6 linked regions of the Danio rerio genome follow. The protein of the gene in region 1 interacts with the protein of each later gene in a pairwise test. Links are inferred from orthologs where the notes say so. Each region holds a gene or a part of one and is shown in the gene's direction. Other genes may lie near its edges.

Region 1 (4,105 bases):
AAGCATAATAGTTTAATAACTTATTTCTAATAACTGATTTATTTTATCTTTGCCATGGTGACAAATAATATTTAACTAGATAATTTTCAAGAGACTTCTATACAGCTTAGCTCATTTAAAGGCTTAACTAGGTTTACTATACATGTTAGGGTAATTAGGCAAGTTGTTGTATATCGATGGTTTGTTCTGTACACAGTCTGAAAAATTTTGCTTAAAGGAGCTAATATAGGTTTGACCCTAAAATGATACATAATAAATTTTAAACTGCTTTTATTCTAGCCGAAATAAAACAAATAAGACTTTCTCCAGAAGAAAAAATATAATCAGACATACTGTGCTCTGTTAAACATAATTTAGAAATATTATAAAAAGATAATATCTTTTTATAATAAAAAGATATTACACCGGAGGGGCCGGTGTAATAATTCTGACTTAAAAGTGTGTGTGTGTGTGTGTGTGTGTGTGTGTGTGTGTGTGTGTGTGTGTGTGTGTGTGTGTGTGTGTGTGTGTGTGTGTGTGTGTGTGTGTGTGTGTGTGTAGTGCTGAGCATAATTAAGTACACACATATGTGTATCCAATTGTCAGTGAATATAGGCAATGTATTGTGGTGCATTTAAACGAAACAAATTTATTAAACAAATTTATTTAATGAAATAATATTTTAGTCACCAAACATAAATTTTTTTAAAGATAATACAATTAAATTCAAGCAAAATATGGCCCCAAAAAAACTTACAACCTATAAAAAAAATATTATTTATTTATTTTTCTCTTTTCTTAAATTTGCATTTAATATTTTTTTCTATAACATAAATTTGGCTGTACTTATTTTTGGACTGTTATCGTAAGTTATTTTGTTAGATAGGCTCCAGATTTGCTTCAGTACTGACTAATATAGTATAGATTCCTATTAAAAATATGAATTTAAAAGATAGATTTGTGAGGGGTGTACTTATTTATGCTGAGAACTGTGTGTATGGTATGTATGTATGTATGTATGTATGTATATATATGTATATATATATATATATATATATATATATATATATATATATATATGTATATATATATATATATATATATATATATATATATATATATATATATATATATATATATATATATATATATAAACAAAAGTCGTGTACACCTTGCATAACCTCAATTGTTTTGTTTTTGGTGCAGCTACCCCTTTAAATTTTAACAAGAAATAAAAACATAAATTATAGAAGAGGCGTGGCGTAACGTTGAAATATATCTGCATAAATGCACTTATTTACATGTATTGCCGTGAGTAGAGCACAACTTCTGTCATTCGTCAACAGGGGCTGCTGGATAAACGCTGTTTATTATGAGAGTCACCTGACAAGGGCGCCAGTAAAGTGCGTCATAGGAACGCAGCGCGGCGCCTTCACCCTGCGTGAATTAAATCGGAGCTGGCAATGCCTGGATTTGATTTTCCAGCTATTTTTATTGTTTAATCTGTGAATGGCGCCTAAACAGGACCCTAAACCTAAATTTCAAGAAGGTAAGATGCGCTTTGTTTCATCCACGAGAGTCACCCGTCGATCGGGGATCCTCTCATTCTGCCGTGCAAAGGAAGCGGGCGCTGCCGCTGCACAATGGCGCGCGCGCACGGCGAGCTGTCTGTTACAAAACACTTTTTAGCTGAGAGTTGCCGCCTTTAACTTGTGCAGAGTTGTTCATCACCTGTCAAGCGAGTGCATGATCGCACGTTGGTGCTTTTCGTTGCATCTGACAGCCTCTGCAGACGCACACAGCGGCGTGTTCCTGAAACAAAACATTAGCTGTTGTCTATGATGTAGCCGTTAGCATACAGCAGGCCTTGTTTACAGGAAGCGGCCATTGCAGTATTGAAGTCCTGGCGGGAACAGTCATTTACTTATTTGAAGCGTAAAAACAACGACGTTAGCTCGGAGCTGTTCTAAAACTGAAGTCGATAATGAGCAAAGAAAGGCTATATTATTGCATTAAAATGACCATTAGCAATTTTTGATAACTGAATGAATCGTTCTATAGAATCGAATCTTTAGAACAGTGTTCTATTCTGAATCTGATTCCTGAACTGGGACTCTAATATGAGTTAATATTGTTGGTGATTGTAAGTAAACGCATATGTCAAGTAAACAGTCAGATTTGATGTATTGTTTGACTATATAAGCAGGTTTTAAATGTGCGTATTTCTCGTTTGTTTAAGTATTGTGTATTGAAAATGCTAATTATATTTTGGTTATAATGAGCTTAATTATGATTCAAACAAACAATATGGTAAATATACTGCAGACTGTTATAAATCTACTATACATTTAAAACATTTCTTTGTTGTGGCATTTTCTGAAAGTACAATATTCTGTGCCCACACACATATTTGAATATGTAACACTTCTATTTTATTTATTAGCCCATTAGTGGATGTCATTGTATATTAATATTTCTGATGTTTTTTCAGGTGAACGAGTGCTGTGCTTTCATGGGCCATTGCTATACGAAGCTAAGGTACCTGAATCATTCATGCCATTATGCATGCTTCAAAAGGCTTTTTGATATTTGTTTTCCTGAAAGCAGTACCTGAATGGCATTACATTTATAGTGTAAATGTAGTCATGTGTTTGTAGTGGTTTTGTTTATCATATTAATGCTTTGGTATTGTTTTCTGTGTCAAGTAAAGGGATTTGTTTTTGTATAGTTAGCCCTCTACCCCATGGTGTTGCCATATGGCAACATAATACCGTTAATTTTTGCCAGTGCCACTGTTCTTCTTCTTCTGCCAGTGTTTCTTTAAGACCAACGTTCTGTTTGTTTTTTTTGTTTTTTTGTGGTTATTGGAAAGAGAAGACCTTAGTGTAGCCAATGATGTGCTTCGGTTAAGTCACATGACGTGCAGTGTTTTTCTGTGGCTTGGTTTCTGTTAGACTGGCGTTTATTTTGAATAGTTGCTGAAAGCAAATGAAAAAGTCAATAAAATCAAAGCATCAACCCATGCCAGATCCACAAACAAAATCTGAGACATCACATCCAATAAGTTATGATGACATATTCACAACTCAAAAAGATTTTGATCAAATTAGCATTTTGTAAGTCGATCAAATGTATGTGCTAGCAAATGGAAATGCTGTACAATAGAGGAATGTGCGATATTGCGATAGATTAGCTAGCTAGGTCAGCTCAGCTGTGGTCTTTAAAGTTGTAACAATAACAACATGAATGCTAGTAATATAACGTTGATTAGTTGTATGTTAATGGCATTTGCTTTATGGTTAAATCTAATTTTAATGGCAGTGCATTTGATTAGATATAAATACAAGGAACAGTGTATTAGTGAGGACCACAATGTTCTATAGTTAGTGAAAGAAGAAAAGGACACAACTGGCTCTTCCCACAGATGAACGTGAGGATGAGATGGTGACAATGAGAATAATGCAGATTGGACATTTGATAAGAGCAGTGATGAAGTCAGTTTAAGTTAGCTAGCTCAGAGGTGTATATAAGACAGATGTAGTAAAGTATATAGTTTAATATATAAACATAGTTTGCTGGTAGCAAAAGTTTATTTTGATGCATCTGAATATTTTAGACTTATTTATTTGTTATAATATTTACTAGAGGATATATTTATACTTTCTGTATGTTGTCTACATGATAATACAATATTATGTTAAAAAGAATGGACTAAATAAAAAGTTTTGGAATATCAGTTGAAGTCAGAATTATTAGCCCCCCTGTTTATTTTTTTCCCCAATTTCTGTTTAATGGAGTATGTTTTTTTTAACACACTTCTTAACATAATAGTTTTAATAACTCATTTCTAATAACTGATTTATTTTATCTTTGCCATGATGACAGTAAATAATATTTGACTAGATATTTTTCAAGACACTTCTATACAGCTTAAAGTGGCATTTAAAGGCTTAACTAGGTTAATTAGGTTAACTAGACAGGTTAGGGTAATTAGGCAAGTTATTGTATAATAATGGTCTGTAGACTATTGAAAAAATATAGCTTAAAGGAGCTAATAATTTTGACCTTAAAACTGTTTTAAAAAAATCTAAAACTGCTTTTATTCTAGCCGAAATAAAACAAGTAA
Region 2 (3,500 bases), on another chromosome or scaffold:
GAACAATCCACTGTTATACAATGATTTGCCTAATTACCCTAACCTGCCTAGTTAATCAAGTTAAGCCTTTAAATGTCAGTTAAAGCTGAATACTAGTATCCTAAAAAATATAAAGGGCGGCTAATAATTCTCTCTTCGTTTCTCCTGTGTGTGTGTGTGTGTGTGTGTGTGTGTGTGTGTGTGTGTGTGTGTGTGTGTGTGTGTACGCGTGTGTGTGTGTTCAGGTGTCAGGGCATCGAATCAGACTCCACTTTGATCACTTTTCTGACTGCTATGACTTCTGGGTAAACTCCAACTCTCCCGACATTCACCCTGTGGGCTGGTGTGAGAAAACCGGACACAAGTTACACCCACCGAAAGGTGTGCGGGTGAATATGTGATGTGTGTTTATGTGTGTGTATGTAAATATCAATGTGTGTGTTTATGAATGTGTGTGTGTGTGTGTGTGTGTGTTTGTGTGTGAATTTGTGTGTACATGAATGTGTGTGCATGCATGAATTAATTATCTAAATGAATGTGTGTGTGTGTGTGTGTGTGTATGTGTGTCTGTGTGTGTGTGTATGTGTGTGTGTGTGTGTATGAATTTGTGTATATAATAATATGTGGATATGAATATGTGTGTGTGTGTGTGTGTATCAATTTGTGTGTAAGAATGCATGTATATATATTAATTTGTCTGTATATGAATGTGTGTGTATATATATAATTTGTATGTACAATTGTGTGTATATTAATTTGTGTGCATATGAATGTGTGTATATATATCAATTTGTGTGTATATGAATGTGTGTCTATAAATGTATTTGTGCGTATATGAATGTGTGTGTGTATATATTAGTTTGTGTGTGTGAATGTGTGCCTGTGTGTCTATATACTATATTAATTTGTGGGTATATGAATGTGTGTGTATATATTAATTTGTGTGTGTATGAATGTGTGTGTGTACTGTATATTAATTTGTGTGCATATAAATGTGTGTGTATATAATAGATTGTGTGTGTATGAATGTGTGCATGTGTGTGTATATATACTGTATTAATTTGTTTGTATATGAATGTGTGTGTGTGTGTATATATTAATTTGTGTGCATATGAATGTGTGTGTGTGTGTATATATTAATTTGTGTGCATATGAATGTGTTTGTGTATATATTAGATTGTGTGTGTAAATGAATGTGTGTATATGTAGTGTATTAATTTGTGTCCATATGAATGTGTGTGTGTATATATTAATGTGAGTGCATATGAATGTGTGTGTGTGTATATATTTGTGTGCATATGAATATGTGTGTGTATATATTATTTTTGTGCATATGAATGTGTGTGTGTGTATATATTTGTGCGCATATGATTGTTTGTGTATATATTAGATTAAGTGTGTAAATGAATGTGTGTGTGTGTGTGTGTGTGTGTGTATATATAGTGTATTAATTTGTGTGCATATGAATGTGTGTGTATATAGCATAATAATTTGTGTGCATATGAATGTGTGTGTGTGTATATATATTATTTGTGTGCATATGAATGTGTGTGTGTATATATTAGATTGTGTGTATGAATGTGTGTGAATATATAGTGTACTAATTTGTGTGTAAATGAATGTGTGTGTAGGGATGAAGGATGAAGAGTTCAGCTGGTCCTCCTACATCAAGCTCAATAAAATCCAGACGGCACCCAAAGCCCTGTTTCACAACCAGAACATGGTGAGTGCGGAAACCACAGAAGTGTGTGTGTGTGTGTGTGTGTGTGTGTGTGTGTGTGTGTGTGTGTGTGTGTGTGTGTGTGTGTGTGTGTGTGTGTGTGTGTGTGTGTGTGTGTGTGTGTGTGTGTGTGTGTGTGCGTGTGTGCGTGTGTGTGTCTGCAGATGGCGCTGTTTCTCTTCATTTAATTCATTTAACTTCATTTCACTTCAGCAAGACATAAACACACACGTGCCTTAAGCTAAACCCTTTGTGATTTAACAGCTACAGCACAGAGATGCCAGCGCAACTGAATGTTTCCTTTAAAACCCAACATTTATTAAACAGAAATACCATTTAAAATAAGTTATAGAACGACAAATATTTTCTAAAATACAATATTATATACAAAAATAAATTGACTAATGTGCGTGTGTGCATGTGTGTGTATAATAACTTAATTAAATAATTGGTAACAATAATAATAATAAAAAACACATTATTGCATTGAATTTTAAATTGCAAACATCTTTCCAAAGACATCCAGTTTTTATTTATCCTTTTATGAAGTGACCAAAAAGGACCACACTTATTTTTTCTCTGATTACACATGTTCATTTTTCAAGAGTGAGATTATCAGCCATTTCCTTTATCCACTGTGCAAGAACCGATCTTTGGATGTTTTTCCCATTAGTTATACAGTTGTACGCAAAGGTTTACATACACTGGATAAAAAGGCACATAACCATTTAAAAAAGTCAGATGTTTAATGTGACTAGAGTTTTTCTCTTTTAGGTAAGTAAGGATGATCACATTTGTGTCTGTTCTGCTTAATAGCAGAATAATGAGAGAGAGATTGTTTGAGAAATTGTTATAACTCTTGTTGAAAGTCAAGTTTATAGCAATCAGATTATTCTGCCTCTGGAAAAGCTCAGATGATGATGTCAGGGTTTTGGACGTTTCTGATTTGCTAATTGACAACATTTGAGTTCATGTGAGGCACAGCTGTAGAATAGTATTGAAGGAAAAGCTCAAACACACTGCTTCCTTGTGTGACAACATGGAGAATCAACAAGCCAGAATCAACACAAAAGCCGGATTACAATTTGCTGAATTACACTGGGAATAGACTCATGTTTGGAGACATGTCCTGTGCTCTGATGGAGCTAAGATTGAACTGTTTGGGCATAATGAGCAGTGTTACATTTGGAGGACAAAGGGGAAATCAACAAGCCTAGAAACACCATCCCAACTGTGAAGTATGGGGGCGGCAGCATCATGTTGTGGGGCTGTTTTGCTGCAGGAGGGACTGGTCCACTTCACAGCATAGATGGCATCATGAAGAAAGAACATTATGGAGAAATACTGAAGCAACATCTCAAGACATCAGCCAGGACATTAAAACTTGACCACAAATGAGTCTTCCCAACAGACCATGACCCTCAGCATACTGCCAAATTAGTTCATATGTGCTTTAAGAACTACAGAGTGAATGTTTTGGAGTGGCCATCACAAAGCCCTGATCACAATCCTATAGAAAATGTGTGGGCAGAGTTGAAAAAGCTTGTGCGAGCAAGACAACCTACAAATCTGACTCGGTTACACCAATTCTGTCAGGAGGAATGGGCCAAAATTCCAGCAAACTATTGTGAGAAGCTTGTGGAAGGAGACAAAACATTTGACCAAAGTTATACAGTTTAAAAGCAAAGCTAAAAAAAATACCAAGGAAATGTGTGTAAACTTTAGACTGTCTAGAAATTAATAGAAAATTCTCAGAAAGAAAAAATTATCTTATTATTCTGGCATTTAGCAAATGTAAATA
Region 3 (3,500 bases), on another chromosome or scaffold:
GACTGGCAGGCTCTTTGCAGATTATTCCACATGGCAAGGCTGCTCTTAGCACACAACAGCAGACTAAATATATACCCTTCAATGCCCATCTTTGAAATAAACTCTAATACACCAATTCACAAGATATGCAATGTGCTGCTAATGCTTGCTTGCCCTTTTTTTTAGAAGTTTTGTTTTATGTTATGGCCTTTAAAGTTACAGTATGTAATATTAAAACATTAATCATGTTGGTTACATGGATAATTTAAAGAGCTAGAAACCTAAAAGTTGTTTGTTCGATCCCTGCAAAGAGCGCTATCATTATTGTGCAATTTGTTTTTCAACTTGTGTGAAGTTAAGTTTGCATTGTAGATGAACTGCCACAGACTAAACGGCAAAAACATTACATTTTAAACATTTAATTTCGAACCTTCCGGTGGAGAGAGTGTTTGCTGGTGCTTGCTGGTGTTGAGGTTATGCTACAAAAAAAATATTAAAAACGAAAGAACGATAAAACACCAAAAAAGATTACCACACAGATGGAGGAGGTTGATGATATCAAGCGATCGCTGGATATGTTGACAGAAGAAGTCTCTGTTGTTAGACAACAGCAGAAGACGATCATGGGCCTGGTGGAGGAAGTGAAAGCCTTGAAACTACAAAACATTGTAAAAGAAAAGAAAATACATACATTTTTGTATGTAATGACTCAGGTAATGAAATGAGAACTATTAGTTTTATGAATATTCAGTATTCACAAGTTAAGTTAATCTTGACTGACATGACATTAACAAATAATAATGTTATAAAAGAGCAGAGAGTTATATGAAAGCAATTGATGCATGTCCAAAGGCATTTGCAATCTGTTGGAAAGAATGATAGACTGCTACTATGATGTGCACAAATGACAATTTGTTTTGAGAAATGCATTAACTGTTGTGCAAATGTAAATAGTGTTGTGAGAAATGTATCAAAGCAACTGAGAAAAACTGTAATATGGAAAACAAACTGTGGCTGGCTTTGTTGCGTCTCCTGTTTTCAAAAGAAGAGTCCTACATTAAGTACATAGTAAATGTGATATAAACTTTAATGCAGTTAAAAATAAGGGAGGGCTTTATTAAAAGGCTTCCTTCTAGTGGAATTTCTGAATAACTAAAGTAAAAAAATGAACATACTTTAACCCTTTAATGCGTACGATAACACCAATGTGATCAGTAAATTTTTTTTAAAAGGCTGAACCTTTCATTTTATTTTCAATTTTCTAATGTTAGTTATGTAATCTCCTCCACATATTTGTAACGGTTGTTGGGGGCGTATTTCGTATTTTTATATCCCAATGTTGACAGGTATGGTTTAATCACTTGCTTTTATGACACACAAAGCCTACTCTAACGCACAGTAAGCAGATTTAATTTCTAATTTAAATATGTAAATCCAATTCCTTTATTTAAAATATAAGTTAATGTTTAAATTTCAAAGATATACAAATAATTTATATATACATTCAACATATATTTCAAAATGTATCAAAAAGAGTTCATATATGAATATTATGACATATAGCTTATATTTATGAGGTCCAAGGAACATTACCAGGTTTTGATGGATAGGCTACTTTTTGTTAATGCTTTTAAGTACAGCTGTTTACTTTTTAAGAACAGTGCCACATATTGATTTAAACTGTGACTCTTTATTTCTTTTTAATTGTAAGCACAGTACAATCTTAATGTTCAAACTATTTATAATGTTTAAAGTGGCTGACAATAATAAATATTCATAATAAGAAGACTTAATCTGCCACGCTTTTGCACTGTGCAGTGATGTAGCTGCTTAATAAAGCCTACTGCGCTACTGTATTTTAATACTGGTCATTATGGTGGTGCTTGGAGAGACACATTTTTCCTGAGGTGGTATTTGGTGAAAAAAGTTTGAGAACCACTGAGCTAACCCAATGTAATTGTATGTTGTTTGGCTGATTACAATCCACATGAAACACCGACAACTTCATTTTTGAAAAATACATGTAAACAGTTTATGCACACTTGATCAACATTTTGCCCTCCATCCTGTAGTTGCTAAAATTGTTGAATGCTACACAAAAAAAAAAAAGTTTTGACCATCTTGTCACTGTAAAGCATTGCAAATTAAGAATATTACATTAGGTGAAAATACACTTCTCTATGGCTAGTTCCTAGAACAGAGTTCTGTAACTACCTGTTGAAAAAAGCCCATCGAGATACAAAGATTTTTTTTTTTTGAAAAGCAACCTGTGGCTATACTCTGAGTACAATGAGAAATTTAAGCTGTGACATCAACATGTTCATGTGTTTTAAAATGATGAAGCTAGTGTAATTATGACCAACAGAATAATCTATTTTACAGGATAAATGACATCCATGCCAATTACAAAATCTTTATTCCTTGTCCACTGTTTTTCTCTCTACAGAGTGTGTGTCCTGGTCGGGTGTTCACCATGGCTCTAGTTCAGGCACTGCCTGTACCCACTGATCACCCAAAGCCCAGTACTGACGTCCAGCAGTGCTGCTCAGTGTCTCACTCCCCCACAGTAGATGTCACTGGCACCATGGGTTCTGTCAGCAGCCTCATCTCTGGACGTACCTACCAGGAACGCCACTGTCGAGCCGCCAGTGACTTTGGTGCCAGATATCGCAAACCCACACCAGCTACAAGCTGTTTTCGACAACAAGAGGGCACACTGCGCAGCTCCAGCTCACAGGAGCAGCTTCTGAACAGTCAGCCTCCTCTACCCGCTAAGAACAAGTCTTCTGCCCTCATCTCGGCTGGCAATGGCAACTATGGCTATTTGAGTGATGAGCCAGTGGGTGATTGGAATGATAATCACGTGAGCACATGCAGCCCATCCAGTGACACTGAAGAACCTTCTGATAACAGAGGCATGAATGGTAACATCGGTGGACCTCCGCCAAAACTCGTCCCAGTGTCAGGCAGGTTGGAAAAGGTAAGTCTTGGAGTTGATCAGTTGACATTTGAAAACAAAAATAATACAATAAATTGTAAATTAGTGACAATGTATTTAAAAAAAAATTAAGATATAAAGTGAACCAAAATGCAGTAACCAAGAATACAATCAGGCAGGGTTTGTAAAGTTATTTCTAGAAGTATACATGATTTTTTAATTGATATCATGCAGATATTTTTCAAAAGAGACTTACTGTAAAAAACTGTTTTAGTTAATTTAACAGTGTTTAAACCCTGGACATTTCTTAAAGCATTTTCTTTCTAATGTGACCCACTGTTTCGTTGTTGAGGTGTCATTTAATTGTTTTAGTATAAAGAATGGCGGCTGACAATTCACACATCTATTCAGCTTTTCCTTTCCAATGAAGAAGGAGAGCATTTAAATACTGCAAAACGTCAATATGCCATCACTCACCATACACATTTAATCAATGATACCTCATTACACTTACAACACTAAAAGATGGTGTTCTTGGAGGTTTAATGCATTTAATATTTTTAAGATACACATGTGAAATGGC
Region 4 (4,140 bases), on another chromosome or scaffold:
TCTGAAACTGTGTCTACCGAAGGGCTACGACGCTCAAGGAGGGAGCGTAAACCCCCAAAACACTTAAAAGACTTTGTGATGTGAAGAAAAAAAAAATAATAATCTGTTGTACTTTATCTATATTGGTGTTAATTGTGAAATGTGGGGGGACTGTCTTTGGATTTATGTGGGAAGGAGTGTAGTATGGCATAATAATGTTGTCCAGTAGGGGGCGATGTGTCACTTGATGGTGCGTGCAGTATAAAAAGGGGCTGAGAAGAAGACCAGCAGGTGTGTTACCAGTTTGCTGTGTATAGGGTATTCACCTTATTCTCAGCTGTCGAGCGGGCGCTGCCATTTGAATATTTTTGTCTCGCGACTTCCGGTCACATTCACTTCCATTCATTTTTTGACGTTAACAACTGCTCGTTACGCTGCTTGATGTTGCAATTTAAAATTTTCTTATTATATTATGCTACTTGGTCTGTGTAGTCATGCAAACATTTGTTTGTTGAGCAAGTAGTTTGGCCATTTTCTGCCGTTTATTATTCCTAGTCATTTCTCCCATAGGCGACTGAATCGGAAGTTCTAAGACAATCGCGAAAACAGGCGCACTTCCACATTTTAGAATAAGGTCAATATGTCGAGCTAGTGCTGTTCCCATACTGATACACTTCCGGTGACCTGTTATTGTGGACTTTTCTCCATTTTATACGGTTCCTTATACAGCATCGATGTTGTAATGTCATTAAAATACATTCAGTTAAATAAACTTTGCCATTCATTTAGTTGCTCAAGCGTAAAACCAGACAAAAAGCCGTTTACTCGCACGCGCCCGTCAGAATCTGCAGGCTAGCGCAGAAGCTACATTGAATATACTGGGGTAAAATAAATGCTCATATTATAAAGATATGGCGGGGGAAATGTAATTTAATGCAGTGCTTCTTGTACAATCTGAGACCCACTTTATATCGGATATCACTCAGCTAGTGGAGATCGCTGATTTTTAAAGAAAACAGACCTTTACCGCGCCGGTTTTTGCATTGAATACAGTTTGCCGGAAGTGCTTAACCCAGGTGACTGGCAAATTAAAAGTTATATTAGCATGATTCAGCATTTACCCTAATTTCCAGAGTCCCAATAATTGACAAGCATGAACGTTTGGCTCTGAGTTACCTTTATTAACTCAAGATACATCAAAAAATACATAGCTAATGTACACCATTGACTGTTGTACACCGTCTGAGAGAAAAAAAAAGTTTATCCAACTATGACGACTTCCGTTACTGAGAAACCCGGAAATGTGAAAAGGGTCCATGAGCCGCGCGGCGCCATCTTGAGGAGAGAACGGTTTTTTCCACAGAATCAGGCGGACAGTCAGAAACTCACTGGCCTCTGCGGAGTGCCAGATGCCGCGGGGATTTCTCCTCTCTCTCCGCTCACAACATGGATTTCAACGTGAGGAAACTCGCCTCGGATGCTGGGATATTCTTTTCCCGCGCTGTCCAGGTAAGAGATGCCGTTTTTCGGTATGTAAATAAGTGTAAAGGCGACAGTGAGAGTGACAGTTAATGTGACGCGCGTGCCCGTTGCGTTTACACAAAACACCGAGTTTCACTGATACAATCACACATTTTCACTTTCACCTCAATTAAATGTTGTTTCTGACATAGTACACGCTGTCAATGTAGGGTAAATATAAATAAATTAGGATATTAGTCGACAACTAGCCATGTTTGAATATCTTAGGCTGTTTGGTTTGTTATTCTGATGTGTTTCCTCTCAGGAATATTATATTAATGGAGTTTTTTTATTGGGACAGTTTACAGAGGAGAAACTGGGACAGGCTGAGAAGACTGAACTGGACACTCACTTCGAGAATCTGTTGGCCAGAGCGGATTGCACCAAAAACTGGACAGAGAAAATCTACAGGCAGACTGAAGTTCTGCTCCAGCCAAACCCGGGTTAGACTCAAAGATATATAATGTACACATGCATGCCTATTATTACGGTATCAGCTTCTTCCAATTCTATGCAAATGTCAGGCTTCTCATGACAAAAATAACGTTTTTCCCAAAATAGTGAGACCCTTTCTACGTTGTTTGTTTAGGCTTGTACTGTAAAACACTGCAAATGTCTCTGTCAGTGTTTTTAAACAATTATACCCTCCTGAGACCCAACTATTTATATTTTTTACCCAAATAATTTCCTACATCATTTGGGTAAAAAAAAAATCTACAATTTAGAGTTTTTACATTTTGTTTTAATTTTTTATTTTACAGCATGTCCACTGCAAAACGCACATCAAGTGACCACACACACTCATTCACACACACACGCACACACAGTCATGCGCTCAAGACAGCGGGTCCAGGCAGTCAGTGGGTCAGTAGACTGGTTCAATCTTTTGCTTTCACGCTTGTACTTAGTAATTTTAGCGAACACCTCAGATACTATTGGTTGGTTCCTTTTGGTTGTGCACCCTTTTTACCAACCAAGTTTGTCGACGCCATCATAACGACACAGATCACTCTGACTATTCTTGCCTATTCATGAGTCCTGCGGAAAATGTGATTGACAGGTGGTAATTATGTGTGTAACTTATCTTTATTCATTTATGATTTGTTTATCGGTAAAACAAAGACCATGCGGGTCAGGTAGTTAAAACGGTAGGCTACAAATAATAAATTCGTTATGAATTAATTATTCATAATTATTGTCTATGACGATGATGCCATCGTCCATCACAATGTTTATATTAGACATCGTACGATGCCAAATTGGTCGACATCGCCCAACCCTAGCATATGTATATATATATATATATATATATATATATATATATATATATATATATATATATATTTATATATTTATATATATATTTATATATTTATATATATATATTTATATATATTTATATATATATATATATATATATATATATATATATATTTATATATATATATATATATATATATATATATTTATATATTTATTTATATATATATATATATATATATATATATATATATATATATATATATATATATATATATATATATATTGTGATTGGGATTTTTGAAAGTATTGCATTGCTTTAAAAACATTTATTATTACCATTTGTTGAGTCCTACTATACAGTTTGATAGAGCGCTTGGACCCAGAAGCTGCTTTGCTTGAAGTCACACTTAACTAGCAGATACATAGATATTGATTCATCTTTCAGTAACATAAAATTAAATAAATAATTAAAATACTTTTTTTAAAAGCTTTTACGTATTATTTTTTATGCTATTATTTCCCCCCTTTGAAACATTGAAACCAAATAACCGTTCATTAGTGACTGTAAAAACTTAAGTGTGCATTTGTTTTTTGTTTTTTTTTGTAAAGTCATCAATTTCAAATCATTGTTTTCTCGCTCTGTTGTCTTATTTTTTTAAGTTTCCTACTATAGCTGCTTGTGTTTTTTTGCCATTTGATGTTGTCTGTGTTTTTTTTTTTAATGTTGTATGTCTGTCTGTGTACCAGGTGCTCGCATTGAAGAGTTCCTGTATGAGAAGCTTGACCGGAAGATTCCACCACGGGCCACCAATGGAGAGATTTTATCCCAGTTCATGCTGGAGGCTGCGAAGGAGTTTGGACCGGGAACACCATATGGTAAGAGTCTACTCTCAGAAATTAGTCTAAACACTGTGATTATCATTCATTTATGGGTGATTCTAGAATTGCTGGTATATTTGCATAAATTTAGAGAATAAAAACTTTAATTAAATAGTTTTAAATAATAACACAAATGATATCAAGTCATCTTTAAATAATAACGCCCCATTCACACGGGACGTCAGCGTCAACGCTTCTCATTCACTTTGAATGGGTGATGTCAGGCATTGCCGAACTACATTGTGGACCCGTCGGCACCGCTTCAGAGGCGATGCTCGCTGCAGAAGTTGGGACTAGCTCAACTTTTCAAGTGCCGACGGAAGCGTCAGCCAATCAGATCACTGTATGCAAATACACCAGCTGGACAGTGGCCTATTGCTGACTGAATTTCATTGGCTGATGCTTCTATGACGATCGCTTCAGCCCCAACGTCAGACACGCCTTCAGTCAAGCTTTGACGCTGAAGCCCCGTGTGAATGGGGCGTAAGCATGACGCAA
Region 5 (4,299 bases), on another chromosome or scaffold:
GAACCTCCGATTGTGATAACCGCATAAGTACCTGCATCAGTTTTACATTTTGAACACATGTAGGTGAATTAGAAGTGTTAACTAGATGTCTGCGGTTAGCAGCGATATAGAGACTGTGTATTATGTTATATTGTATTCCCTTGTACGTGTACAAACAGATATTTTCTTAGCTTTAGACCATCATCCCATGTTTCCTCATCAATATCAATAACCAACTCTTCCTCCCATTTGGTTTTAATTCAAAATACAGTATTTAGATCTAATAATTTAATAGAAAATTGAGGTGAATAACTGCAAAAAGGTCCACTTTTTGAAAAAAAAGAACCATCCCTTTCACCAGGCTACTGGCCTGTATTCCCAGTATAACCCAACCCAGTTCAACAATAAACTTGAAGCTGTGAGATTTCATGATCCAACATCCACAACAATAAAGTATTGCTGAAAAATAAATTAGTGGACCTGTCACGGGGCTTGATTACACATTTCATGTCAATTCTTTGATTTTACGGATTTTTACATACAAAATCAATCAGTTGTGCCTAATGCATCAAATTATTCAGAGTGAGACCAGTGTTTTAGATTTGATACATTTCATGATTGTTTTTCATGCGGTTGCACGGTGTGTTATGAAAGCATCTGCTCAAAATAGAAATTGCATCTCGCGTTTGACACACATTATATTTATTTATCAGTATTCCTAAATAACGAGCTTTTTATAAAGTCTGGTCGTTTCATGAAACGTACATTTCGGAGTTTTTTGTGAATCAGGAGTGGGTCTGTCGTCAAAAACCAACCAGAGCCACCCAAATATAGCAACTACACAACTGGCGCTAATAGGACAAACCCGGCGAACCAGGAGCCGCGAGCACCGAGTCCGCATCGACCAGCCCCCGACAGCTCCACCAATCAGATCTTCCAGCTGTTAGTAAGTGGCAGTGTGGTAGACCAATCAAAGCCTCAAACTCTGCGCTGGGCGGGGCGTATAGTGGAGAGGGGTGGGGATTTCGGGGTCATTCACAGTCTTGCTGCTCCACTCTGACGGCGTGTGTTGGAGGGGAAGGGTGAAGTAGCACAGCATCACAGTCTTATCAAAGAACAGACGTCCTAATCAACAGCGTTTTCAGATATAACATAGAGGATTTTTACGAGAATCATCCCGACATATGCAGGAGCCGCGAGATCAAGTGCCAGAAGGTGTCGGTGCCCGTTGATTAGCGGCTGCGCTAGCTGTTGTGCTAACACCTCGTTTACATCCACCGTCATCAGACAGCATCAGTCCAGCTTCAGACCGGCCACTAACGGCACTCCCGCGAGCTTCCCTCGCGCTGTAGGCAGCCGTTTTCGAGTTGGCTTGCCTTGCTGTAAGGGGTGTCGGAGCTGAACCCCCTCCCTGTGGCTCCTGTGTTCCCCCGTCACCTTTGCCCCCTCTCTCACCCGAAACACTGGACACACAGAAGCGGCCGGAGAACGGCGAGAGGCCCGTGAAGCTGGGGGTGGTACCGGACTCGCACGCTATCGTAGCGCCTAAAGAGAGGCACAGCCGTGGGGAAGCGACGACGAACATGGACGGGTTGGCGGTGGAGGTGCGCGGCTCCAACGGGGCCTTCTACAAGGTAACTTCATTTAAAATGAACCCATTTTAAACCATAAAGCTCCAGTGTACGCATCAGCGAGCGGGTCGGGACAGCCGAGATGTGATGCAGTCATGTGTATCACTTTCAAAGAGGCCCGAGACCTAATGATCATCGGCCTGGTTGTGTGTGTACAGTGTTGTTTTCTCATTTCTCAGCTATAAACAGGGGAATCACCGAGTCATTTTAGCAGGTTAGCTAACAAGACAAGAAGCCAGTGGCTATATCTCAAAATCAACCGAGGTGCCCTACATAGAAAGCATTTTTGGGAGATTTTATGAGAGGATGAGCAGGTTACTTGGTTTTGAGAGACATGATGGGACATTTCATCAGTGCTTGAAGGGGAAGTTAAGGCCAAAAATGATATTTCTGCCATCATGTATCATCCTCATCTTGTTCACAACCCTTTCTTTATTCTTTGTTCCACAAAAAGGAAAGGCAGTCAAAGTGTGGACCGACAGTGTTTTAATTATTTCCAGGCAGTCTAAGCAAATGTTGTCTGATGTTGTCATTCTTCCTAAATGATGATCACTTTTTATTTTTGGTTTTAACTGTTTAAGATAGATACTCTGTGGCTGGACTAGCTTATTAAAGTGTCAGGTTGGGTCGTTTAATTTTCATATTGGTTGTGAATTCACAGTGATATTCTCTTTGTTTGGTCAGTTTGAGTTCAAGTTAAACAGTGGGAAACCACTTATCTTGCTTTCGTGAAGAACATGCTGTATTACATTTAAAAAAGGTCTCTATATCAATGACTAGAGTATGGATGGTCATGTTATGTCATAGGTTGTGATTTAAGGATAGTACTGTGATTGTGTCGGCTGTTTCAAGCTGTAGAAGTCTGAGGGGCCAAAGCAGGTGGAAGAGGAACAGGTGATCTCTTTGCTGACACCCAACACTCTACAACCCCCTACCAAAACTGACCAACTCTCTTCTTTTCTGGTCTCATCATTTGCTGTCTTTACGTTTTTTTAGGTCTTTTTTAGTCCTAGTAGCACCTATTTTATTTGAATACTCTTTCTTCTTTTCAGGTTTTTAAATGTAGCATTTAATTGTTGCAGGCTTTTCCTTAAATTTGAGTTTACATTGACTATTTACCACTTAATAAAAATAGTTTGGTCTGAGATTTGAAATGTCCTTAATACAGTGGTTCTCAAACTTTTTTCATCAAGTACCACCCTCAGAAAAAAATTCTTTCTCCAAGTACCACCAAAATAAGCAATATTGAAATACAGTAGCGTAGTATGCCCAGTAAAGCAGCTACAACTCTGCACAGTTTAAAAAAAACATGGCATATTACCTCAGAAATAAAGGCTATATGTCATATATGGCATATTATACACATAATTTTTTATAAATGTTGAAATATATGTAGCATGTACATGATATATGTCATTCCTCCGTGTACCACTAGAAGGAAGCCCGCGTACCACTAGTGGTACACGTACCACAGTTTGAGAACCACTGCCTTAATAGATACAACATTGGTTCTAAAGTCTTGGGTCTTGTAACCAAACTATGAGTTGGAGCAAGTATACAGCAAGTATACAGTGTATACATAGTGTAAAGTCTGCCCCAATATTGATGTTTTTTTCCATAAGTCAGAACTTGTAAAATAATTTTTAGTCATGCAGTTTATTTCAATTCAAGCTTCTTCAAGGTTCCCTCAAATGCTATGAATGAAGATGCACATGGAGACCTCCACGTGGCCGGGGGTCTTCGTCATACACTACTTATCTGCCACTCATCCTCTTGGGTCCTGCATGCCTGTAGTGTTACATATCCAGAAATACCACCCTAACGTAAGGCCACCCTAACGCCTCTCCTGCACAGAACTGGCCAGCAGACACTAATATGTAAATTCACAATCTAGTATGTTGGAACAGTTTCAACATGGGACAGTTTATATTAAAAGCCTGCCCAGCTGCTTTTAGTCTGTTTTGCTGACTTGTAAATTAGCAGGCGTTAAATCTTCATTTTTAAAAGCTTGTAAAGGGAGCTCCATTTTTGGACATGTAGATTTACAGCTCTTTTTACGCTGGTTTAGTGTCTTGTCCTATTGACGTGCATAAATTAATACCGTAGGATCATCTTTTATAGTTGGTTCATTATTTGGCAAGCGTGATAATGCAGGTTAATGCATTAAGGGGTTGTATGTATATGCACATGGCTCTAAATAGGCCTGCATACAGTATGTGCTTGTGCCAGTTTTCCGGAAACTAGCCTGCCTCTTCCAAGCAGGTTACATACTGGAACTCGTTCTGTCTAATTTTTTCATTCACCCTCGTCTCAGCCACTTCGTCCCATATTAGGCATTGGCAGTATGTAGCTAAGCTATAATGGGGGTGGCGACTGGGGTAATCGTTTTATGGCAGCTCTGAGGTTAGTAGAGGAAGGAGGAGTGATGGATGAGGAACAGATTTTGAGGAGGGGACTTTGAGTGCCTCCACCCGACCCCTTCAATTACGTCTCACATTCACATGCTACCCTGTACTACACCTGTGACATGCATGTGCCCACGTTTGTGGCATAGGTGTTGCTTCGGGAGCTAAATGTGTGTTAGCACATGCTATGTATATCACATTGCCTCACGCAAGTTTTGTTTGCTCCCTATGTAACTCCCTAAGAAACAGATGCCAACATGATTCAATGGCAAACACTTATGCTG
Region 6 (3,500 bases), on another chromosome or scaffold:
AAAATTTCACGGTATTGTGATTACTGCTCTAAAATAATTTCTTTTTAAATGTCTGGGTAAAAAAATGACAACCTTTTTCCCCATTGAACACTATATTTTACTTTATTTGCAACATTTGTAATATTTTGTGTTTATTAGTTTCAAAAACAAAGATTTCTTTACAAACATAAAAAACACATTAAGATTAAAATCTTACATACACCTTAGGAATGGTATAACAGAACATTTTTGTGGTTCTAAAACCTTGATTTATTTATTTATTTTTTCTGAACCGTGGTAAACTTTGAAACTGGTTATCCTCCCATCCCTATCACACAATCCATGTCAATGGACCCTTCACTAAGCCCCGCCCTCCTTAGTTACTGTTGCTACGCCTGTCAAGCTTTCGTGCCTGGCACAGCTTTTTCAATGTGTGTGCGCCAGTGTCAAACATTGCCAGGGATTTAATGTCATTTTTGGCGAACAAGTGAGATATCCGAGAGAGCCAGACAAAAAAGGACTGCCGTATGCAATACAGGGTTATATTCACGGCATAATAGGCAACCAATTAGAGAATAATTCAATCAAAATTGAAGGTAGCTTAGCCTAGCCGCCTCAGGAGAGGTGAAATTTTAAAATAATCTAATAATAACAACTAAAAACCGTGATTTCTCTATTTTTTAGCCAAAAACCCTGATAGATTAATTGTTGTGCAATGAAATATAGCGTTACTAACTGGCGAGGAAACACGCACGACAGTGCTTTTACATAGTTCATTCATAGAAAGAACAACCAGAAAGGGGAAACTGATGGATTTGTTCCAAATGGTAGAATAATTGCTGGTAAAGTATATTGATTGCAAGTGCTCAGTTTGTGATAATATCTCTGTTTGTTTTGTTGATTTAGCTTGAAATAAGATGGAAATATGAAGTTCAGTAAACAGATTTTGCAGATTAGTATTTTCCGGATCAATAACTCGTGTCATTATGACCTATTCACTATTAGTATGATTAAGTTACTAACATTATAGCGAAGGCTTAAACGGAGCATTACTCAAAATATTGAGCAAAAAAAAAAAAAAGGAATAAGACAGCTGTGAAACATAACCTGCTTTGTATTTTAGTACAGTTTAGATCTGTGTAGGGTTAAAGGTGTGTGAGTTTTTGCCGTCCATCTATGACTGAATGTGTCAGGAGTATCAAAACAAAAGCGACTTAGCTCCGCTCCTTTAGCGTCCCTCACACAGCTTGATCTACGCTGGCATTTCTCCCCTTGGGTTTTAGGTTTTGAAAAGGGAAAAATTTCCACCATCCCGTCCAAACTTTTAAGGATACCGGGTATCAGATTTGCACAATCCATATATACTCGCTCGAAAGCTTGACAGAGCCCCTGCAAGTAGCTACAGTTGCTAAGCCACGATTGGTGGGTGGCGGTTGTTGGGTGTGGCTTAGCGAAGGGTCAATTGTCTACTTTTTTATTTGTTTGCTGCAATTATTTTATCCAACACTCAAATTTAATCAGCAAATTTAATTTTGTTGCCACAGCATGAATCAGAAATACTTCCATTTCCAAACTCTGAAAAGAGCTTTGTGCTTCCAGAAGAGATCATACAGGACGTCAAGGAAGGTGGGCTCCTCTTAGTTTTCAGTGTTTTAACTCCCAGCTGACATATTTGTTTTTAGTGATCATTCAAATCTTGTTGTAGGTAAAGTGGGATCTGAAGATGACGTGAAAGAGGAGTTCAAAGAAGAGAGCGACCCTCCTGCAACCCATGAAGAAGGTTCTCTCCTTCACTCTCTTTATTCTCTCATCTAGTCACCCTTTTCTTTTTGCTTGCCCCCTTTCTCTCTCTCTCTCTTTTTTTTTTTTTAAGTAAACCGTCTATTAAAATCTGCGTCATTGCATCACTACTACTACTTTTTTTTTCTGGATCGTTCTCTCGTTGGCGTGAAGCTCAGTGAAGCTCACACTGGTCATTTCTGTCTCATTTTCAAAGGTCTGGGTCCCAGTATGGCTGGCCAGGATTTTGCGAGGTATGGACAGAAGAAAACGTTTTGCTCTGTTCCAAAACTCCAGCTTGAGCTCAGTACAGGCCAGCTCATTACCAGAGGCCTCTGTAGACAGCCTTCAGAGACCTCTGACCATGTGCGTCTTTCTCTCCGTCTTTCTCTCGCTGTCCTCCTTTCTCTTTCTCTTTTGTCTTTTTTTTATGTGCACCCTAGTCTGTTATTCTCTGTATGTGTGGTGGGAAGCATGTTGGCATGTTTTGACGGGTTTGTTAAGCAACAGCTTTATATGATAATGGTGTTTCAAAATGGTTCAACAGTTTTTCAAAAATGTAGCAAGGTTGAGGGAAATAGCACACATGGCTTTGACCTTTAGTTTGAAACTTTAGAGTAGAACGTGATTATTCATTTTGTTGACATAATTTTAGGCATCAAATTAGTGGTGCTCATTTCAGTTAATTTTGCTAACCGACAACCACCGCACATTAATAGGATATTAACGGTTAACTGGTCAGATAAATATTACATTGTTATTAAATAGAAAAAAAATTACATGTCTATTTTGTGTCTGACACATTAAATATTGCATTTTAAAATACTAATTTATTTTAACATGGTAGCATATTAATAACAAAACATAACAACAGAGCATCTTCACGCACCTGCAGTGTTTCCAACACCATAGAAAAACAAAATAAACTGAATAAAATGTATAAAATAAATAGGCATGCCCTAAATAATTTTTTACTTAATTTATTAATTTAGATTACAAAATGAAAACATTGACTGAATCCTTTTTAAAAACAGGCATAGGCTTTTTTTTCCAATCATATGTTTTTGTCTTCCAACAAATAAAAATAGCAGTCTTTCTCAAATTGCTCGCTCCACAAAAAATACGCATTTATATAATGCCCCGCCATTTTTATATCACAAAACCTTTTTACATTTTAAATAGAATTCATTATTTTAAAGATTATGTATTTTATATAGTCTATATTTTCCCTTTTCACTCGCGGTTCAAGTGCGTGCGCTGCATGATGAAAAGACAATGTCAACGCGCACATATGTTGACTTTTTGTAAACCGTTTTGTTGTTTAAATATGATATTGCATTGATTTGCATACATGCTTTATAAGCTGTAAAATGAAAGCTAAAGCCAATTTGTTTTGTTATGATGCAAATCCAGGAGGCTATCAGCATCAGCGCTGGATTGACATCAATTCGTCGGTATCAAACAGCAATATTCTTCTTCCATTTAGCTTCTTTGGCAAATATGTCTGTAGGCACGTGTCGTCATACGTTATTGTCCCGCGAGTAACAAATAATGTGTTGCAGTTGCACATTAAAGGGCCATGAAGCCCCCTCGTTTCAGCAGGGTGTTTTCACACCTCTACTTTGGAAAAAGTCAGAAAAGTGGCCGTGTCCAGCTTTGTTTAGGGGGGAGTGTCGGAGGAGTGTCTGTTTGGGTGGGGTGACTTTCAGAGTCAAAACACACACACACACACCCACCCACAC

Evidence for each region.
Region 2: the proteins of morf4l1 (region 1) and l3mbtl3 interact in binary tests that used the Homo sapiens proteins (3 or more experiments, as listed by UniProt). The two-hybrid records come from large-scale screens. The link is inferred for Danio rerio from reciprocal best matches to the Homo sapiens genes MORF4L1 and L3MBTL3.
Region 3: the proteins of morf4l1 (region 1) and lzts2a interact in binary tests that used the Homo sapiens proteins (3 or more experiments, as listed by UniProt). The two-hybrid records come from large-scale screens. The link is inferred for Danio rerio from reciprocal best matches to the Homo sapiens genes MORF4L1 and LZTS2.
Region 4: the proteins of morf4l1 (region 1) and sh3glb2a interact in a two-hybrid assay, tested with the Homo sapiens proteins (2 studies listed by BioGRID and IntAct). The link is inferred for Danio rerio from reciprocal best matches to the Homo sapiens genes MORF4L1 and SH3GLB2.
Region 5: the proteins of morf4l1 (region 1) and fxr2 interact in binary tests that used the Homo sapiens proteins (3 or more experiments, as listed by UniProt). The two-hybrid records come from large-scale screens. The link is inferred for Danio rerio from reciprocal best matches to the Homo sapiens genes MORF4L1 and FXR2.
Region 6: the proteins of morf4l1 (region 1) and mrgbp interact in binary tests that used the Homo sapiens proteins (3 or more experiments, as listed by UniProt). The two-hybrid records come from large-scale screens. The link is inferred for Danio rerio from reciprocal best matches to the Homo sapiens genes MORF4L1 and MRGBP.

What each region holds. Positions count from the first base shown.
Region 1 is NC_133193.1:21,420,883-21,424,987, forward strand, and holds the start of morf4l1 (mortality factor 4-like protein 1), read left to right. Parts: upstream 1-1,305; 5' UTR 1,306-1,488; coding exon 1,489-1,528; intron 1,529-1,601; exon of another isoform or gene 1,602-2,122; intron 2,123-2,470; coding exon 2,471-2,517; intron 2,518-4,105. UniProt on the Homo sapiens protein: Component of the NuA4 histone acetyltransferase (HAT) complex which is involved in transcriptional activation of select genes principally by acetylation of nucleosomal histones H4 and H2A.
Region 2 is NC_133195.1:2,232,574-2,236,073, forward strand, and holds part of l3mbtl3 (lethal(3)malignant brain tumor-like protein 3), read left to right. Parts: intron 1-224; coding exon 225-360; intron 361-1,610; coding exon 1,611-1,702; intron 1,703-2,473; exon of another isoform or gene 2,474-3,349; intron 3,350-3,500. UniProt on the Homo sapiens protein: Is a negative regulator of Notch target genes expression, required for RBPJ-mediated transcriptional repression. It recruits KDM1A to Notch-responsive elements and promotes KDM1A-mediated H3K4me demethylation.
Region 3 is NC_133188.1:20,766,707-20,770,206, reverse strand, and holds part of lzts2a (leucine zipper putative tumor suppressor 2a), read left to right. Parts: intron 1-2,425; 5' UTR 2,426-2,452; coding exon 2,453-2,962; intron 2,963-3,500. UniProt on the Homo sapiens protein: Negative regulator of katanin-mediated microtubule severing and release from the centrosome. Required for central spindle formation and the completion of cytokinesis.
Region 4 is NC_133183.1:3,988,864-3,993,003, forward strand, and holds the start of sh3glb2a (endophilin-B2a), read left to right. Parts: upstream 1-1,340; 5' UTR 1,341-1,425; coding exon 1,426-1,488; intron 1,489-1,801; coding exon 1,802-1,943; intron 1,944-3,510; coding exon 3,511-3,639; intron 3,640-4,140.
Region 5 is NC_133182.1:22,701,746-22,706,044, forward strand, and holds the start of fxr2 (fragile X mental retardation syndrome-related protein 2), read left to right. Parts: upstream 1-1,499; 5' UTR 1,500-1,562; coding exon 1,563-1,613; exon of another isoform or gene 1,614-2,777; intron 2,778-3,107; exon of another isoform or gene 3,108-4,299. UniProt on the Homo sapiens protein: mRNA-binding protein that acts as a regulator of mRNAs translation and/or stability, and which is required for adult hippocampal neurogenesis. Specifically binds to AU-rich elements (AREs) in the 3'-UTR of target mRNAs.
Region 6 is NC_133198.1:17,436,447-17,439,946, reverse strand, and holds part of mrgbp (MRG/MORF4L-binding protein), read left to right. Parts: intron 1-1,523; coding exon 1,524-1,605; intron 1,606-1,684; coding exon 1,685-1,759; intron 1,760-1,975; coding exon of another isoform or gene 1,976-2,124; intron 2,125-3,500.